Linked DNA regions of Cricetulus griseus. The protein of the gene in region 3 interacts with the protein of the main gene of each other region in a biochemical or structural test. Links are inferred from orthologs where the notes say so. Each region holds a gene or a part of one and is shown on either strand. Other genes may lie near its edges.

Region 1 (4,564 bases), on a different chromosome or scaffold from region 3:
AGAGTATGCTTTGCAAAGGTATAGATGAACAGTAATCTTGATAAGTGATCAAGAAGACAGCAGTGTAGCTGTATCAGGGAAGGTTAACAGGTCAGTGCCACTGAGGAAGTGGGAACAAATACTGTAGAAAAATGAAGTCATGTTTGCGAATTTATTCAGTGAAGAAAGCAGAGAAATACAGTAGCTACTGAGGAAATTTTGGATCTAAAGGAAGTTTAAATTTAAGTAAGAAGGAATTTGATAAGTTTATATGCTGATAAGAATGACTCAGTGGAGGAGGGGATAGTCAACTATAAAGACACTGAAGTAAAAACCTTAGGAATGGGAGTGAAAATAATCTAGGGCACTGGTCAGGACCTGGCCTTCTTGACTTCTGAGACACTTCAGAGTAACATAATGTTAAGAGAATTTTGATAGTGAAAAGTTGATCAGTATAAAAGGCTGGGGTTTTGCAAGATGTAGAGGAGTCGTTTAGTAGAGAGGAGTAGGCATGAAATAATCTTTCTTCAAGTCTAAATATCAATGTAGTTGTAGGAAACCCTTTTGGAGTTAAGCACATCTTCCCCTAAACCATTTTTCTCTATTAGTAAGCCTTTTGATCCTAATGCTATTCATCACCATTAATAATTATATCTTTATTAGTTTATATATCACAGGATAGTGATCTTGATTTCTGAACTCACAAGGCGAGGTGACGAATGGACGTCAGCAGAATTGTCTTTGGCCATCCCTGTTAAATGCTGTCTGAGCGAGTCCCTTTTCTCCTCTGAGCTTTTATTTCGGAAAAGATACCATGGGAATGATAATGATTTCTTTGACGATCTCACTGTTTCATCATAAGCATCTGCGTCAATAAAAACAGAAGCATCAAAACTGGCTAATTGTGGCTCACATGCAGTCGTGTACGGTGCAGGTGCGGAATGCGTCTAGCGGATGGGGTCGTTGCGGCTTCTGTCAACAGGGGCTCAAGCTTGGTCAGCCGAATAGCAGAAGGGCGAAGCTCAGGCCAACACCCCCAGCTGCGGCCTCTTTTCCGGACGCTCCTGGCCTGGCCGGTGTGGGGGCGGGGAGGCCGAGGTAGTAGTAACTGTCAAACCTCCCGCTTGGCGCCATTATTTAAATAGTACGTGCTGGTCTAGCATCTGTGCGTGCCCGGGGCGGGGCGGCGAGCTCCGGGAGCGGGGCGGCGGCCAGGGGCGGGGCGCGAGGGCTGAGGGGCGGGGTGGGGGCGGAGCCAAGTCAGCTAGAGGGGAGGGTTCAGAGCGGCCCCCGGCGAGCTTCACTGCGCTTGCGCTGACAGACGCAAGATGGCGGACAGTGCGGAACTAAAGGTAAAGCGCAGCTCGAATTCACTTCTAATATTCGGCCGTGGAGACGGCGCCGCTGGTGCCGGGGGGGATGGGTCGGACCCTGGGGGGGCCGCTCGGGCCGGGCTCCACCCGGGTCTGGAGTTGTAGGCGGGAGAGGCGCTCCGGGCCTCAGTGGAGGGGGCCTGGCTGCGGCGGGCCGTGGGCCCCGGGAGCCTCGGGGGCGCTGACGGGTCGTCCCCGGCGTGTTATTGTTGTGGGCGCCTCTGGCGGGGGTGGCGGGGCGAAGAGAGAGTGAGTCGGGACGTGGCGGTAGTGGCGGTCCCCGGGGCCCGGGTGCCTCACCTTGCAGCCCGCCTCCCCGCCCCCCCTACGGGCAGCCGGGGGCTGGGGGGGTAGGGTGCGCTTGGAAGGGGGGGATTGGGAAAACTGCCCCGCCGCCGCTTCCTCTTCCTCTTTCGCGGTCCCGGGCTCCTGTCAGGCGCTGTGCTCGGACCCCCGGGAACTTGGCTCCGGCCGCCCCGCCCCTCCGCGGCGCCCAGGCGCCCCCGCCCCGCTCGCCGCCGCTGCCCGCCTGTCAGTGGGTGCCGGGCCAGTGGGAAAGCGCAATCCTGGGGCGATCGGCGGGGGACACGGGGGAGAAGCTCTTGGAAAGTTTAGCGAGCCCGGAGCCGGCGTTGGGGGTTCGGTTAAAGGGTTGCAGGGGGAGTCTGCCGGGGCGGGACGTTACTGTTTCTCTCTTGGTTCCGGGCCACCGGGGTGGGTGGGGGAGTAACCCCCTGGAAGAGTGTGCATTTGGGAGCGGTGGTGGGGATGCAGCCACCTCTCTACTCTCTTGCTGTCGCTGGTGTGGTGGGTGAGAGCAGTCTTGGGGGTCTCTGCATACACCATGATGGCGATGCTATAGCTGATGGAGGTGAATGGTTTGTGTTTATATCCCCCCGTTGCCTTTTGTTTGTTGGGGACATCTTGCTGGCCATGTTGATTTAAACGAAATTCTCCTCCCACCCCCCATCCTACTCCAACCTCCAATAAATAGAATGTTCCATCGTTCCTCTCAACTGTACCAATTACTCATGCCTCGCGAAATTAGATGAAAGGGTGCCCCCTTTCCCCCGCTTTTTCTCCCACCCTAATCTTTACCTGATGATGGTTTCTTTACCGAAGCAGATATACCACTACACAAACAGTTGGGGGAGGGCTGGTGGAACCCTTATGATTGGATTGTGACAAATGGGGCTTCGCTTGAATAATTTTGGTTTAGTAGCAGGCAGTTCTTAACTAACACATATTATTTTGAGGCTCTGAACACGGTATTCCCTTTTCTGGCTTCCTGTGTGCGAACCAAACAGCTGGTTATAGCCCAACAGAGAACTAACATCTCTGTCAGAGTGGAGATTGGGCTATGCAATTGTAAATCTTAAGGGGGATTTAGAAATTCTTTTTGTAATCAATCATTTTTTTTTCCATTATGATGAAATAACTTCTAGAATAAGCAGACCACTACATTTGTTTCTGGGCACTTTTGTGTGTGGAAAAACCTCACTGGAAGATCCTTTTTCACTAGTAACTTTGTAGTGTTAACATTCCAAGATTTTTGTATTAAGATCTTTGTACAAGATTTGGATATTTGTTCTTTTAAGTTTACTTCTAATTATTAACTTTTTAAAAACAGAATGGGTTGAATGGAGAGTTCCTTTTGTTTGTTTGTTTTAAAGACAGGTTTACTGTGCAGCTCAGGTTGGCCTGGGACTCACGGTGTAGACCACGCTAGTTTTGAACTAGTAGAGATCCTCCAGCCTCTACTTCTCTAGTGCTGGGATTAAAGGCATCCACCACTATGCCCTACTTGGAAAATTTCATTTATCCCAATTTCATACTATTGACTGAGAAAGCCTCAGAAATTTGAAATTTTTTGGAGATACTCAACTTGCAATTAAAAACAAGCTGAGTGATGGTGGCATGTGCTTTTACTCCCAGCACTGGGGAGGCAGAGGCTGGAGGATCTCTGAGTTTGAGGCCAGCCTAGTCTACAAAGTCCACTTTTATGTTTCCATTGGTGTGTCATTGTGCCTGAGACTTCGAGGAACTGTGATAGATTTCTTAGCTGGCTCTATTAAAACTTTTAGTAATGCTTCATTGTGGTTAGGATTACTATTCTTTTTGGGGGAGTAAGAGAGGTGATAACAGGAATGCCTGCCATAGTTACTTAAGCATGCATACAGGCCTGGCAGTGGTGGTGCACACCTTTAACCTTAGAACTGGGGAGGCAGAGGCAGGCAGGTCTTTGAGTTCAAGGCCAGCCTGGTCTACAGAGTTCCAGGACAGGCTCCAAAGCTACAGAGGAACCCTGTCTTGAAAAATCAAAAAAGAATGCTTATAAATTTTTTGTGCAGTGAATTTAGGAAGACATTCCTTTATTCCTTTTAGAAATATTTTTTTCAGGGTGTGTGTGTGTGTGTGTGTGTGTGTGTGTGTGTGTGAGAGAGAGAGAGAGCGAGAGAGAGAGAGAGAGAGAGAGAGAGAGAGAGAGATTGATTTTTGGAGGTGAATATCGTATATTCTATAAAATAGGGAAAATCCTAGATTATTAAAAAACTTGTAAATGGAGATACCTAACTCTAATGGGAGCCACTGAGCAAATACTGATCCCCCCTCCTCTTGTCCCAATTCACAGCCCACATTTGACTATGCTGTGGATTATAACTACTTTCCTAATGGCCCTTTTAGTGAATCCTTTTCAATCTATAGTGAATCTGCAAAGATCAGATGGGAAAAGCAGATCTGTATTCCCTGTAGGGATAGTGCAAGCTTGGAGATATTGCCAGTGTAAACTAGATTGTGAGTCACACATATCAAAATGAGTTCTCTGTGCACTTTTACTTATGAAAAGTTTAATTTTTCATTAGGGGAATACCCACAAGTGACATCTGTGAGGCTATGAAGGTGAGACTATGAAGGTGAAGGCACTTCAAGTAGGCAGACCAAGTGATCTTGGTAGTGATAACCTGACAGTTTCTTTGTAGCTCCTCTGATTTGATTTTTTTTTTTTTTTTTTTAACACAGTCTCTGTAGCTGTGGCTAGGCTGAAAACTTGTTTTGTAGACCAGGCTGACCTCCAACTAACAGAGATGGAACTGCCTCTGGATTGTTGAGATTAAAGGTGTGTCACCATGCCTAGCTGTAGATCCTTTAAAAATATTATTTTAGACCTGGGCAGTAGTGATATATACCTTTAATCCCAGCACTTGTGAGGT
Region 2 (4,562 bases), about 1.7 Mb from region 3:
AATTGAAAATAAAATAAATCGTTTTTTAAATCTAAGACAATGTCCCCCCAGGTTAGTCCTGGATCCGGAAGTACTCACTAGGCCACACCCACCCTTTCCCCAACCTAGTGGTAGGAGCAAAGGACTGGCTCTGGCTGGCCCAGCTCCAAGCTTTCAAAACTGCTTTCAGTTTCTCTTCACAGCAAGAAACCCTACCCCACCCAACCCCAGGCAGCCAAAAGTTGCAAATCAGGATGGTACATCCTCCAGGAAGTCACCCACTGGAGCTGTAGCTCCTGAGTTCCTCACCTCCCAACCCCTACACTCAAAGGCTTCACTGGACTCCATTGTAATGGCTCACTGCTTTTACCCAGAATCTCAACACCCACACACTCCATCAACAACTCCAAAGACAGAGCTTAGTGTCATAAGCCCAACTTGGTTCCCAGTTAGAATTCCTCTTAGCATTCACTAAAGAAATCAGCAAATAAGAATGCACAAATTCAGGCTGATGAGATGACTCCTGCAGGAGGTGAAGTGTTCATCTCAAACGCTTGACAAGCTGAGTTCAAATCCCAGAACCCACGTGGAAGTAAGGAGAACACACACACACACACACACACACACACACACACACACACACACACACACACACACACACACACTAAACTTTCTAAGCTTCTCAGAAGCAGGAAGAAAGGGCTTAAATAACAGGTTTTCCTTTCCTATTAGTTTGTCAGAAAATATGACCAAGAAATACTAAAGTTATACACTTGATGTTTCAATACTCAGGAAAACCTCAAGGCCAGTGGAGGAGCATGGTGATAGGGCTGTAATCTTAGGCAGACAGGAGGAATTCAAGGCCACCCTGGGCTTCATGGGGATTTTTTTTAATAGCATGCCTGCAACATCAGGAAAGTTTCAGATACTATACAACAGCAGGCTGTATGGGAAGCAGGAGGCTGGGAGCTGGTGATGGGAACTCGGGAAACATACTGAATCCCAGGCAGAACTCATAGCTGACTGGGTTTCTGAATGAGCCCAGAGCAGCTGCAAAAGCCAAGTCTATTGTATTAAATCCTTGAGCTTGCTCTGAGTTGTCTGCTACTCTCTTCCATGTGACTTCGTGGTACACCAGAGGTTCTGCATTCGCTAGTCTGTAGCTATTGGAGTAGAACTCCAGACCTTTCCCGTTTCTTAGACGAATACTCATGATTCAACTTTCTGCACTCCTTATGATATAAAATATGACGTGACGTCAGTATTTCACAGCTCCTCTACAAAATTCAAAAGTAATAATATACTTGCTTCGTGGAAAGCATTCTCAATTACCACTCTCATCTCCCGGGGTTTTGTTAGAAATGCAGGTCCTCAAACGCCCACCCCAGACCTGATTCAGCATCAGCATTTCCACCAGCTTATTCAGCAATTCCAGCGCACACCACTGTACATAAAGCACCGCGCTAGAGCCTCCTCAAAAGGCAGAGCGACTGCAAGACCTAAACAGGAGGTGGCCGCTGGGAAAGGGCCCGCAGGAGACCACCCAAGGCCCTCCGGGGCTCCAGTAAACACTGAAACCAGCCTTCCCCGGGAGGAATGTCTTCTACTAGGCTAATCCACCCTCGCTGTAGGGGGTGGGGTGAGAAGCGGATGCCGGGAACTTGACCCCTTTTGCAGCAGGCTGCAGTAACAAGGGAGGCGTGAGTGAGTGCGCCTCTTCCTGGACCCAGCTACAAGCCGCCAAAGCAGACAAGACCAAGTCCCCGCCCCCTTTTGCTGTCACCCTGTCAAAACAAAGCCGCTGCTTACAGCGCTTGGCCAGTCTCCCCTGCGGCCTAGGGAGCTAGGGAGCGGAGACCCTTACACGTGCATCTCCAACTGGAGACTCCAGGATGCCAGGAGCCCTCGGGGAGGGAGAAAGGCAAGAAAACTGTCTTCAAACTGAGAAGTGTCCGCCGCCTGGGCTGTCACCTTGCCAGACCTTGTTTACACCCTAAACGGCCAGGATGGCTCTTTCACTAAACAAATAATAACACAAAAATGACAGGCCTGTGGCCTCGAGGCCAAAGCCACCAGGCGCCAAGGACCTGGGCGTGGGGCTGTGCCCACCTCCCACCCCGCGCTCCGCCCCAACGCTCCAGCAGAAAGCCAGGATTCCGGGACTCTCCGGCGCGCGCTGACTCGGAACCCAGCTCCTCCAAGCGAGGCACAGTGGGGAGGGCAAGCGCAGGGAAACACACTCTGATCCCCCCACCCCAAAAAAAGATGCTTCCCAGCAGCGACTGGTTCGCCACACCAAGCACAGTTCTGCTACCCTTGAAAGGTCCCCCGCGAACTCCTACAGAGCAACAAAGCCCCAGGGTATCCCCCGGCACTTGGAAGCCAAGACTCATCATTCCCAGAAGAAAGAGACGGGCAGATCAGGATGAGCCCCCACCCCTGCGGGACGCTGTGCAAGCCGCAGCGGCGAAGCGCGCGCAACGAGTGCAGCACTTCCGCGGTGCCCGCGAGAGGACCGAGCGGGGTGGGGGAGGGGAGAGGAGAGGAGGGGTCCGGGCCCGGCCGTGACCCCGCGGTCGCGCGCGTCCCAGCAGGTACCTTGCAAGCCGAGTACACGCCGAGTTTCTCTAGTTTCTTCGCCCGCGGAGCGGAGCGCAGCTGCGCCTTCTTCACGGCGATCCGGGCCGAGCCGCCGCCTCCCGGTCCCTCGGCTGTGCCCGCCGCGGCCACAGCGGTCGCTGGCCCGCAGGAAGCAGAGCTCCCAGAGGCGGTGGCCAGGGTCCGGGGGGAGCCGTGAGGGGGCGCGGGCGGCAGTGCGGGGGGGCCGGCCCCGCCAGCCTCAGCCATGCCTCCCCGAGTGTCACACGTCGCCGCCAGGGTCCTCGCGGGCGCCAGTGGCGGAGCCGAGACCACCCCCCCTCCCAGCCGCCGCCCTGAGGCCTCCCCGCCCCCGCCGCGCTCCGCCGCGGGCGATCGCAGGCCCCGGAGCGGCCCGGGGTGGCTAGGACGCTAGCGGGCCTGAGCGCCCGGGCCGCGCTCTGCTCCCCTGGGCCGCCGGCATGTTGCTGCGAGCGTGGCCACCGGCCCGGCGCGCCAGGGCCCGTGGGTGACCCGCGACACGAGAGGCCGGGCCGCTGCAGCCCAGGCACCTGCCGCCCTGCGCTGCGGCGTTCCTGGGCTGACACCCTCCCGCACCGAGACCCAACTTCCTCCACCCTAGCGGGAGCCGAAGGAAAAAATGTTTTCCAGAAGTATCCGTCAGCGGCCAATCCTCCTCTTTGTTGCTAATTCACCGAAACCATGGCGTGAAGGGTTCCCTTTCTTTCTTTCTTTCTTTCTTTCTTTCTTTCTTTCTTTCTTTCTTTCTTTCTTTCTTTCTTTCTTTCTTTCTTTTGTAAGGGACTTTGGGTCAAACTTTTTCTTTTAAGAATTTTTCCCCATCCTCTTCCCCTGGTAATTTCTGAACCGAATCTGCCCAAAGAAAACCTCAAATGGATTCTGTTAAACACACACACGCGCGCGCACACACACAAACACACACACACACACACACACACACACGCACACACACAAACACACACACACACACACACACACACACACACACACACACACACACTGGTTACAGTACGTTACGGGTCGGCAAAATGAAAGCCAAGTGCGTGGAAAAAGTTTGAAATGGGTCTGCCTGCAGGGTTCACCCGGGTCAGGGTTACGGCGTGCTTGTTAACTGGAAACAGTGTCCGGGAGTAATGCTGATTTTGACTTAAAATTCATAAGCAAAACTATTTTTCCTATCGCTGATGGCAGGGTATTTAAGGTTTTCATCATGGGTTCACCCTCCTAAAACGACTCCTAAAAAGCCCTGCATTGACTGGCAAGTGCCCTAATTCTGCAGAGCAAGCATGGCCATAATGTGTGACATGGGTCGTAATGTATTTGTGATTGGTTGTCTCCAAAGCTTGATAGCTCCTGCCAAACTCCAGCCATAAGGGATGTGCTTTCCCTTGTAAATCCTCCCTTGCTCGTCCTGTTTATTGCAATTTGCTTTTAGAGATTCCCCCCTTCCAGATCCTGTGCCCTTTTAACCAGGGTGGTTAAAAGTTAACAGTTTCTAATGGTGATGCTACACCAGGGAAAAGGAAGTCCCTTCTCTTCTGCAAGCAGTGAAGCCCGCTGCTGTGAAATGGCAGCCTCTTACTAGGTTACATCTGACCAGTGTCCTTTCCTAGTCTTGGCCTTGGCCCAGTATGGAGGCTCATGCCTATCATCTCAGTACCTGAGAGGCTGAAACAAGAGGTTGGCCGTGAGTTCTAGAGTATCCTGGGCTCCAGAGTAAGACTCTTGCCTCAAAAATATGAATCACTAAGACCAAGCATGGTGGCCTACAAGCAAAAGCAGGCCAGTATATGTGACTTCAAGACAATGTGGTCTACATTAAGGAGTTCCAAGACAGCCAGGATTACACAGGGAGACCCTGCGTATAAATGAAAAACAAAACAAAGGTTTTGCAGTACTTTCTTTTCTACAGTTGTTCCCTGATGTTTTGTGAATTTTTCACAATAATGTCATTAAATCATGAT
Region 3 (4,554 bases):
TAATCATGCTTTAAGGATTTTTGCTTTTGTTTGCAAAAAAAGAGGAAGGGCCTGTTTTCACACCAGCTTTTGAACGATATTTAACTGCATTCAACTTACTAAACACTGTTCTGTTTTTACCATTGAGATGGAGTGGTTTTTATGGCTCCAGATCCCATGGGTAGGCCCTTTAGTGACCTCACTCCTTTCCTATCTGGAACAGAACCAACACTGTCATTTCTGAACTTTCAGTTCCAGCCTAGCACCCTCTCTGAACATGCTGCATTAGGTCAACATTTGTTACATAAGACATGCATCAGGATGAGCTGAGGTGTAAAACGACAGGTCACGGTTGCATGCTGTGCTGATCGTTTGGAGTCTGGCATTTTCTCTTTGTGAGTCAGTCAGTGCTGCAGGAGCAAACACTATGCTTAAGGTTAATGTACCTTCTTCTTTCACAAAGTGTACCTTCCAAACAATCCATCTTAAAATTAAACAGAAATAGGGTATTTCATATACAAAGCAGTATGCCCTATTATAAATCTTTATCACCGTTCCATTCACTTAATAGTAACAACAATAATAACTTTTCCTAAAGACTTAGCGACGAGACCCAAGTTTTGAGCATATTTTAGCTTTTAATATTTGAAGAAAGGCCATCCATCTACCAAAACAGATTCTTTGCCTTTTATAGCTTAGGGCTATAATGAAGACAATGCATCAAGTTTCGGAATAATTGCTTGAATTACTGTTTCATGTGAATGGCCCGCTTGGGCTGATATCACTGGTAGAAACTGAAGGTTTCTTTCCCTTCTCAGTTATATTCTGCATACATCTTGGAGTAAAACAATATGACCAGTTCCTCTGATTATAAAATCTGCACATTTAATGAAAAGAGAAATGAGTCTGTCCATAAGAAGGGTGGACATTTGAAAAGGCTTACCTGTTTATATTACACTCTCATTTTAGCCTCCCTCCAGTCTCTTATGTGTAACAGCACAGCGTTTGGCACACTTAGAGCTGACTCCTAGCCAATCCACACAAGTGCTCTAGCCAAGGGAGAGGAATTCATTCTGGGGAGGTGGAAATAAATTACAGAAACGTGACAGCATCACCATTGTACTAGGACAGCTCTCTGCCCCATCCTTAGCATCTGGTGAGAACCACACTTCTATTAAAAGCATTCAAGCCTTAGCCACACCGGGTGTGCTGGCTTACTCTATGTCTTCGCTTTGTCCTGAGAAGTATTTGCTGATACCCTTGTGTCCATGATTGGACTTAAATGAAACAAACCACATGTGATTCCGAGAGTGGCAGCCAGCTGTTGTGCCCACCTTATTACACGCTTATTTTGTAGCCTTCTTCTTTCTTTTGCCTGGATTGCTAGATTTAACATAATATGGAAGTATATCCAATATTTTTGTGTTTTAATCATAGTTTATCCACTTTTAGTTTAGCTCACGGTTTCTCGTTGCTGTTAAGCCTACAATATTCTTGTAGCCATCTTAAAAGAAACAGTCATTGCTTGTAAGCCTTCTTGTACTTGTAACTGAGAATCAGTAATAGTTTGATCCCTAAGCAAATATAAAAATGTGGATGTAGTAATTTTATGCCTTGAATGGGTGGTTCTCAACCTTCCTAATATAGTTCCTCATACTATTATGACCCCAATCATAAAATTATTTTTTGTTGCTACTTCATAACTGCAGTTTTGTTATAGTATTGTAAGTCATTTTGGAAATAGAGGTTTTCCAAAGAGGTCTCGGCCCACAGGTAGATAACCACTGCTGTAAATTTAAGCTGCATTTCAAAACAAGAACAGGAGCGCTGTCCTGCCCTTAGTGTGTGGGATTGTCTGTAGAGGGAAACACAGCCGTGGCCTGGGAGCTTGTGTCCTTAGTTATCTTGGCACCATTATTCTTCACTGCGCTCTCTCTCTCTCTCTCTCTCTCTCTCTCTCTCTCTCTCTCTCTCTCTCTCTCTCTCTGTTTCAGACAGGGTTTCTCTGTGTAACAGCCATAGCTGTCCTGGAACTCACTCTGTAGATCCAGGCTGACCTCAAACTCACAGAGATCCACCTGCCTCTGCCTCTGCCTCCCCAGTGCTGGGATTAAAGGCATGTGCCATCACCACCCGGGCTTTCTTTGTATTTCTCATGTTAGGAAATGATCAGAAAGTTTCTTATTGCTGTCTGAACTTGATTTTCCTTTTTTTCTACTTTAGTTGAAATGGATAGTCTGTCTGAACTATCTCAACAAGGCACCAACCACGTCAATTTTGGCCAGCAGCCGGTCCCAGGGAACACAGCTGAGCAGCCTCCATCTCCCGCACAGCTCTCCCATGGCAGCCAGCCCTCTGTCCGGACCCCTCTTCCAAACCTGCACCCTGGGCTGGTGTCAACACCTATCGGTCCTCAGCTAGTCAACCAGCAGCTGGTGATGGCCCAGTTGTTGAACCAGCAGTATGCGGTGAACAGACTCTTAGCCCAGCAGTCCTTAAACCAACAGTACTTGAACCACCCTCCCCCTGTCAGTAGGTCTATGAATAAGCCTTTGGAGCAGCAGGTTTCCACGAACACGGAGGTCTCTTCAGAAATCTACCAGTGGGTGCGGGATGAACTGAAGCGAGCGGGAATCTCCCAGGCAGTGTTTGCACGAGTGGCATTTAACAGAACTCAGGTCAGTTTTGTTCTGTTGTTCTACTGCCTCCTCTTGTGTCTTTGCTGAGCCCTATCTAAGCTCATGTTTTTCCTTTACTCTTTGTCAACCTCTGTTAACATGGCACCTCTGTTAAGTGTGGTCCCTGTGCCATCACTTCTGTCCCTGTGCCGTGCTCCTCTTCCAAGGGCACATCCTGGCATTGTCTGTATTCTCCTCATGGAATGGTAAGCTGTTAGTAATAGAAGGTGAGGAAGTGGCTAGCCTAGTGTTGTTTCTATGTTTCTGTTCATATCAAGCTTAAATACATTAATGTGCTTTGTTGAAATTCTTCAACTCTTTTGATACTATGCAGCTTAATAGTGATTGCATTTAATTCTCTGCAGCCGTTTCTTAGCCTTCTTCCATGATTTGTTCATGTTCTCCACACCTCATTCTTATTTTCCCCCATGTTTGTGGTAGAGTTATATGCATTGTACAAAGTGTGGTTTCTTTTCTTTCTCGCAGAGATCTGCCTGCCTCTGCCTCCCCAGTGCTGGGATTAAAGTCCTGTGCCACCACAGCTACCACTGCCTCCCAGCTGAAATGTGGGTGTTTATTTTTTTTATTTTTTATTTTTTTTGGTTTTTTGAGACAGGGTTTCTCTGTGGCTTTGGAGGCTGTCCTGGAACTAGCTCTTGTAGACCAGGCTGGTCTCGAACTCACAGAGATCCACCTGCCTCTGCCTCCCGAGTGCTGGGATTAAAGGCATGCGCCACCACCGCCTGGCTCTGAAGTGTGGTTTCTTATGGTACTTTGTGTACACATTGTGAGGCTTGGCCATGCTTCTAAGCACCTCTTCTTCTGATGCCCTTTTGCCCTTTGTCCAGAGTTCCTGGTTTATTTTGACAGATTTTACCTCACACCAGAGAAATCATGTTTCTTTCTTTTTTTTTTATGTGTCTATATAGTAAATATTTGAGGTCATAAACTCTGATCACACTGTAGATCACTAGCAATGGACAGTGGTGGGATGGGTGTGGCTTGGTGGCAATTCACTTGTGTCTATATCAGGCCATGTGCTGGGTTGGCTGCAGGCATTTAGTTTAGACTTCCCATTGAGGCCTACAAACATCCCCAGTGTTTACACTTTTTCCCTCCTGGGCAAATTCCTGTGAGACACAATCTTCTCTGCAAGAATAGTATCTCTAGTATTTATAAAGGTTTTATTTGTTTAGATGTTAACATAATACACGTGATGTTTATTTTTAGCCAAGGCACACTAAAATAAGAGGAACATTTAACTTTGAGGCTGTAATGTCTTCTCAGTTTTCTTGTTTTTACCTTGTTTTTTTTTTCTTTTTCTTCCTCTTCCTCTTCTCTTTTTTTGTTTTTTGTCTGACTCATTTTCCTTTCATCTTCAAGTTTTGTTTCTTTTCATCTTTATTTTGTTTATTATGATTGTGAGGATACAATTCTGATACAAAAGTAATTTAGTATTAATTCCTTGTTGGCAGTTGCTGAGCCTAGGAGAATGCCAGCTGTGATTTGTGTTTGACTGGCTTTGGTTAGACTGAGGGTCAGAAGACATGGTGGGGTTTTATAGGGCTCCTTCAAATTTTCTACAGCTGTTTTTCTAGTCATTATTGTTGTTTTTAAAAGGGTGGCTTTTGCACTGTGTTGTCTTAGGTTAAAACTTTGTATTTTTTAACTAAGATCTGTGTTTTTACAGCTTTAAAATTGTGTTCATTCTTAGCTGGTAAATTTAATATGACCCTTTAACTCAGTTGGGAGCAATAATTTTAAAAAAAATCAGTGAATCAAAAGCCACCCTCTAGAAATTCTGATTTGTGGTAGCATTCTTTATTTTGTAAATACAGTAATTACTAGTAATGCTTAGTCCTGGACCAAAAACTGCGACTCTACATAAAAGTCGGGT

Evidence for each region.
Region 1: the proteins of Satb1 (region 3) and Pias1 form a complex in vitro, tested with the Homo sapiens proteins (2 studies listed by BioGRID, with this or other methods). The link is inferred for Cricetulus griseus from reciprocal best matches to the Homo sapiens genes SATB1 and PIAS1.
Region 2: of the proteins of Satb1 (region 3) and Kat2b, one has a biochemical effect on the other in vitro, tested with the Homo sapiens proteins (2 studies listed by BioGRID, with this or other methods). The link is inferred for Cricetulus griseus from reciprocal best matches to the Homo sapiens genes SATB1 and KAT2B.

The regions. Positions count from the first base shown.
Region 1 is NC_048597.1:174,476,921-174,481,484, reverse strand, and holds the start of Pias1 (E3 SUMO-protein ligase PIAS1), read left to right. Parts: upstream 1-1,249; 5' UTR 1,250-1,307; coding exon 1,308-1,331; intron 1,332-4,564. UniProt on the Homo sapiens protein: Functions as an E3-type small ubiquitin-like modifier (SUMO) ligase, stabilizing the interaction between UBE2I and the substrate, and as a SUMO-tethering factor. Catalyzes sumoylation of various proteins, such as CEBPB, MRE11, MTA1, PTK2 and PML.
Region 2 is NW_023276806.1:249,712,153-249,716,714, forward strand, and holds the start of Kat2b (histone acetyltransferase KAT2B), read right to left. Parts: upstream 3,207-4,562; 5' UTR 2,827-3,206; coding exon 2,578-2,826; intron 1-2,577. UniProt on the Homo sapiens protein: Functions as a histone acetyltransferase (HAT) to promote transcriptional activation. Has significant histone acetyltransferase activity with core histones (H3 and H4), and also with nucleosome core particles.
Region 3 is NW_023276806.1:251,370,591-251,375,144, forward strand, and holds part of Satb1 (DNA-binding protein SATB1), read left to right. Parts: intron 1-2,202; coding exon 2,203-2,657; intron 2,658-4,554. UniProt on the Homo sapiens protein: Crucial silencing factor contributing to the initiation of X inactivation mediated by Xist RNA that occurs during embryogenesis and in lymphoma.